2 linked regions of the Kluyveromyces lactis genome follow. The protein of the gene in region 1 purifies or fractionates together with the protein of each later gene. This does not show direct contact. Links are inferred from orthologs where the notes say so. Each region holds a gene or a part of one and is shown in the gene's direction. Other genes may lie near its edges. The genes, in order: ESF2 and NOP1.

Region 1 (3,068 bases):
TTCTCAGTGGCACCGAATGCAGACCCATATGTAAACGTACCTATAACATCCGAGTCTCTGAGCTTTACGCTGGAAAACACTATATCGTTAGTACCAGATTCCTTTCTCAATTGGTTAGAAAACGCAGCAATGCTACCGATGTCCCCCAATAGAGTAGTCAACAACGCAAGTTGATGAACACCACCGTCGGACAAAAACCCACCAATGTGTTCTGGATGTTTTCTCCAACTGGTAGCCAGGTATTCACTCGATGGATAGAAGGGACCAGTGGAATTGTAAGTGAACGCAGCAATTGGACCAATCTTAGCCAATTTCTCTTTCATTATTGGCACACATTCTAAATGTAACCAATTCTCTGCGATAGCAACTGGAAGCTCGGTAGATTCAGCCAATTGAACCAATTTCTTAGCCTGTTCCAAGTTAGCTTCAATCGGCTTTTCCAAGATCACCGGTTTACCAGCTTCTACACTCTTCTTCGCAGTCTCATAGTTGAATTGAACAGGAACCATCACATCCACTACGTCAACGGAATCATCTTGCAACAAATGGTCCAAATCTGCGTAAACTTTAGACTCCTCGATACCAGCAGTGACAGCAAACGCATCTGCTTTACTCTTGGTCCTGTTGAAACATGCGACTGGTTTGAACTTATCGCTGTGCTGTTGGAAAGTGGGCAAGTGCTTGTTTCTTGCAAAGATACCGGTACCTACAATACCAACGTTTAAAGGTGCAGACATATTGTAAAATATATCGAGTGTGTGTTGTTTGTATTGGGGCGACTATAAATCAACAAGTCAAGCCAATTAGATCAAGGATACATGTGTTGTTCATCTATATCGGAAGCACTTCCCCTTTATATATCTGGATTAATCTCTCGAACGGACAAGGTTTTTCCGGTTTCTTGCCATTCGTGTCGGGTTATTATTAATCCAGTCACCAGTTGTCACAAACCGGATAACAGTGGAACGACAACGGCAATGTCAATGGCAATGAGCAATGGCAATGGCAACTCTGGTAGCAAAGCGGAGGGAACTACGCCAAGAGAGTGGGGAGGTTCCTGCTTTGACGTAGTTTTAAGCCGTTTCTATATAGAATATGTATGTAAGACCTGCACACCTCACTGAGAAAGCTGCTCAAGCGTGCAGCAAGAGCAGACATGGATCAAGTTCGCGATCTCCGGCCATACAGGCTGCAAACACCGGCTACAGACCCGTTACTTCATTGTGGTATCGGTCCGTCGTCCAGTACGATTGGTTCCCATTTCTTCTGTACAGTGAGTGCCATACTGAAAAATTTGGAACTAAAGCGATGAGATGAGATGAGATGAGATGAACCATATACATGAGAGAAGAGACAACAGACCACAAGGTTCAGCAGGTTAACTAAGGACAACAATAACACGATGAGCAAGGAGTACAGCGATGTGGATGATTTTGCGTCAGACGAAGAAGAGGACAACCAAGTGTTGATCACTGGGAAGGATGCGAAGAAGAATGTGATTCAGTTTGATCAAGAAGAGGACGAGGAAGAGCAAGAGGAAGAGGACGAGGAAGTACAGGATGAAGAAGAACCGGAGGATAAGGTAGTACAACTCACAGAACAGCAGATAGAGAAAGAAAAGCAGAGACGACTCAAAAAGCTTAAGAGCGATAAGAAGACGAAACACAAGACCGGTGTGGTTTACCTATCGAGGGTTCCACCGTACATGAAACCAGCCAAGCTAAGGCAGATTCTCACAAGATTCGGTGAAGTGGACCGTCTGTTCTTGAAACGTGAAGAGGAGCACAAGCACCAGCAGCGTGTCAAGAGTGGTGGGAACAAGAAAACGATGTTTGAAGAAGGTTGGGCCGAGTTTATCAGAAAGAAGGACGCTAAACTGTGCGCATCGACTCTAAACGGTAATATTATCGGTGGTAAGAAGGGAAATTTCTACCATGACGACGTCATGAACGTTAAATACTTGCCCGGGTTCAAATGGGCCGATTTGACAGAACAAATCGCTAGAGAAAACGATATCAGACAAGCAAAGCTACAATTGGAAATCTCACAGGCCAACAAGTTGAACGCAGAGTTCATCCATAACGTAGAGAAATCAAAGATGGTCAACAAGATGAAACAGAGCAAGAAACGTAACCAACAAGAATCACAGCAGGTCGATGAAGAAGTTCGCAGGACTTTCAAACAGAGGAAAGTCGCTTCGACAAGAGCATCTGCTCCAGATTCTCAGAGACAATCCCAACCGCAATCGAAAGCACTCAACGATGTCATGCATAGTTTATTCTAAGATGACTATATAACACATATATAAAGCATATAGCCAAGCCAAAAGCCCTACAGAGAGTACAACTCATCGCCTGCCATTCCCATGGTCAAAGATCAGGTTTCTTTTTCATTCCCATAGTGTAAGAAAAAGTGAAAAGAAAAAATTTTCCAGCTCATCTCATCTCATCTCATGAATTGGAACAGGAACAAAGGCAGGTTCATCAGTGGTTTGTTTCGATTCAGGTTGATCTCAGTCCAGGCAAGAGACATTCAGTTACTTATTCTTCCATCTGTTTGAGTTTTCGATCGAAATTGAACGTGTTCGTTACCACAAAGAACGAACAAACGAACGAACCAAAGGAAACCTAATTGAAATCTATACCAAGGCACAATGGGTACCGGTAAGAAGGAAAAGCAAAGGAGAATCCGCGAAGGTAATACCAAGGATGGTAACCTTCGTGTGAAGGGTGAGAATTTCTACAGGGACACCAAGAGAGTGCAGTTTTTGAACATGTACAAAGGTGGTAGATCTGTTCGTAATGCAAAGGGTGACATTATCAAGGCTGCTCCGTTGCAGGATACTGCTGCTCCAACAGCAAGAGTGGCTCCTGACCGTAGATGGTTTGGTAATACCAGAGTTATTTCTCAGGATTCATTGAGCCATTTCAGAGAAGCTTTGGGCGAGAACAAGCGTGATTCTTATCAGGTGCTATTGAGAAGAAATAAACTTCCGATGTCGTTGTTGAACGAAAAGGATTCCGCTGAATCTCCAACGGCAAAGATTTTGGAGACAGAGCCCTTTGAAC
Region 2 (2,991 bases), about 1.3 Mb from region 1:
AAGGTAAACTAAAGAATGGATCAAGATCGGACCCAAATATTCGATGAAAAACACCAGTCTCCAAGAGATCTGCGGACCCAAATCCTTAACATACCACTCGTTAACTGAATCGAACGTGTTTTTCTTACCAACATCGTTCAATTCAGAGGGCCCAATGGCGACTTGCTTACCTTCTTTCAGATAGCTTAACCTTAACCTGTTAACGCTAATATTGTGATTGCTTTTCGAAATCTGTTGCAAAACAGATTGATATGTCAACGTATTTTCTGTTGGAACTTCCAACTTGACGTCTTTTAAGCTCTTTGAGCGTGATTTAATAAAAATTGAACTGGATGCAGACATAAAGGGACACTTATCTAGGTAATATCTTCAACTGTCGGATTAAAATATACAGCGATAGTTTGGAAAATAGGATCTCAAAACTAAACCAGAAAATTTATCCAGATATACTAATTCAGATTCTGATTGCTATAACGTACAAAAGTCAAAGCTGGTTCCACTTCTCTGATTTTTTATCTGCTTTTATAAAGATACCGATATTCACAACAACAACCAAAAATGATCTCATCTGCATATTTTCGCAATGTTGACTATGAAAAACTTGTATAGAAATCCTTAGTAAACGTACGCATTGTAGCAAGTATCTGGCTCAACATAGCAAAAAAAAATCTTGAAAAGTTGTAGATTCATATGATTATATAATCAATTCATATCACGTGATACAGATGTGACAATAGTCATGTGACTTTAACGTTCATCGTTCTGTACGTACCAAGAGGCACAGAAAGACCAAAGATGAGAACTTTGAAAAAGAAATTTAATATTGTTTTTTCATTCAAAATTTTTCAGCTGAAAAAAAAAAGTTTCGAAAGCTCATCTCATCGAATGTAAAGTAAGAGTTTATTAAGTTGTTCTTGCTTGAAAGAAGTAATCAATTGTTTATAGAATAGTATTGTGTACGTTTTCTGTTCCTATAATCTACCCATTTTAGAAGAGTTTTACAGCCGTCCAGGATTCTGTTTCAAAGTCAACGACAATACCTGTTACTGATTCACAATTTTAATTCTTTTTTTTTCCTTTGTCCAATTTAGAGAGAAGAAGATCAAGAGCAGCAACAGCAGCATAATCATTATATCTCAAGACAGATAATTCCCAACTAGTTAAGAATAATAATGGCATTCCAAGCAGGTTCTAGAGGTGGCAGAGGCGGTTCCCGTGGTGGATTCGGCGGTGGTTCCAGAGGTGGTTCCAGAGGTGGATTTGGCGGTGGCCGTGGTGGATTCGGTGGTTCCCGTGGTGGTTCCAGAGGTGGATTCGGTGGTGGTCGTGGTGGTCCTCGTGGTGGCGCTCGCGGTGGTTCCAGAGGTGGATTTGGTGGTGCCCGTGGTGGTTCCAGAGGTGGTCCTCGTGGTGGTGCTCGTGGTGGTGCTCGTGGTGGTGCCCGTGGTGGTGCTAAGGTTGTTATCGAACCTCATAAGCATGCTGGTGTTTTTATTGCCAGAGGTAAAGAAGATCTTTTGGTCACAAAGAACATCGCTCCAGGTGAATCTGTGTACGGTGAAAAGAGAGTTTCAGTTGAAGAACCTTCCACTGAAGAAGGTGTCCCACCAACTAAGGTGGAATACCGTGTTTGGAATCCTTTCAGATCCAAATTGGCTGCCGGTATCATGGGTGGTTTGGATGAACTATTCATTGCTCCAGGTAAGAAGGTTCTATATCTAGGTGCTGCTTCCGGTACATCTGTGTCCCACGTTTCCGATGTCGTTGGTCCAGAAGGGTTGGTTTACGCTGTTGAGTTCTCTCACAGACCAGGTAGAGAATTGATCTCTATGGCTAAGAAGAGACCAAATGTTATCCCAATTATTGAAGATGCTAGACATCCACAAAAATACAGAATGCTTATCGGTATGGTTGACGCCGTCTTCGCAGATGTTGCTCAACCTGATCAAGCCCGTATTATTGCTTTGAACTCTCATATGTTCTTGAAGGATCAAGGTGGTGTCGTTATCTCTATCAAGGCTAACTGTATCGATTCTACTGTTGATGCTGAAACTGTGTTCGCTAGAGAAGTTCAAAAATTGAGAGAAGAAAAGATTAAGCCTTTGGAACAATTGACTTTGGAACCTTATGAAAGAGACCATTGTATCGTTATCGGTAAATACATGAGAAGTGGATTATAAGAGCTGCTAAAGAAATATTGATATTTTGAAACCAATGCTAGAGTATGCCTACTTGGTTCATGATTCCTTCTATTAATCTTTTTTTTTTGGCTTCTAATCTTTTTTTGCTTACTTTTTAGTTTTAAAAACCTTCATTCCAATACAATCATTAACACTATAATATTATTTGAAATTTTGCATCTCATTGATTCGTGATAAAGTTCTACAAACTAGAAAAGTCTCCACTTCGTCTTCACTTGTATTTTGTCACTCTGTGTGTTTCTTTTACTTACAGTCCAGGTCCTTCGCCTGTTCAAAGGAGATCGACTAACTGACGGGAAAAGAATAGAAGAAGATTTCAAAACCTTGTTCATCAACTTGACAATACAAAAGAACCCATTTTCACAATAACGGTATTAATACTCGAACACTCTTAACCTTATTTTGTACATTTAATTTGTAGATATATTATTATTATTATCACATACTATATATAACTTATATATATCAATAACAACCATACGTTCTAGAAAATCATGTCTGGTAGCAGTGAATTAAAGGATATAACCCCATACGGGTTACGATACCATAATACGGTCCATCTGTGCATCTGTTGACAAACTCTTTGTTTCTTTTATCTTTAATCGACATCAAATTGAGACAAAAGTAAAGAAAAGTTCTTGAAATTAATAATTATGATATTTAAGACAACAGTGGTTTTGATATTAAGAGTAAACCTTTGAAATAAGCTAAAAGTATACAAAGGTATCGGAAGAGTTCAGAGCCAGATCCTTAAAATAGGTATCTGGTACAGCTGGAACAGTAATTAGTA

What was found.
Region 2: the proteins of ESF2 (region 1) and NOP1 purify together in Saccharomyces cerevisiae (affinity purification with mass spectrometry, with the first as the bait; 3 studies listed by BioGRID). This does not show direct contact. The link is inferred for Kluyveromyces lactis from reciprocal best matches to the Saccharomyces cerevisiae genes ESF2 and NOP1.

What each region holds. Positions count from the first base shown.
Region 1 is NC_006039.1:1,673,052-1,676,119, reverse strand, and holds ESF2 (RNA-binding ATPase activator ESF2), read left to right. Parts: upstream 1-1,402; coding exon 1,403-2,284; downstream 2,285-3,068. Other genes in the region: KLLA0_C18887g (uncharacterized protein), read right to left, coding at 1-737; putative GTPase NOG2, read left to right, coding at 2,654-3,068. UniProt on the Saccharomyces cerevisiae protein: Involved in the small subunit (SSU) processome assembly and function, and in the 18S rRNA synthesis. Required for the early cleavages at sites A0, A1 and A2. Stimulates DBP8 RNA helicase ATPase activity.
Region 2 is NC_006039.1:400,249-403,239, forward strand, and holds NOP1 (rRNA methyltransferase NOP1), read left to right. Parts: upstream 1-1,172; coding exon 1,173-2,180; downstream 2,181-2,991. Other genes in the region: trans-2-enoyl-CoA reductase (NADPH) TSC13, read right to left, coding at 1-342.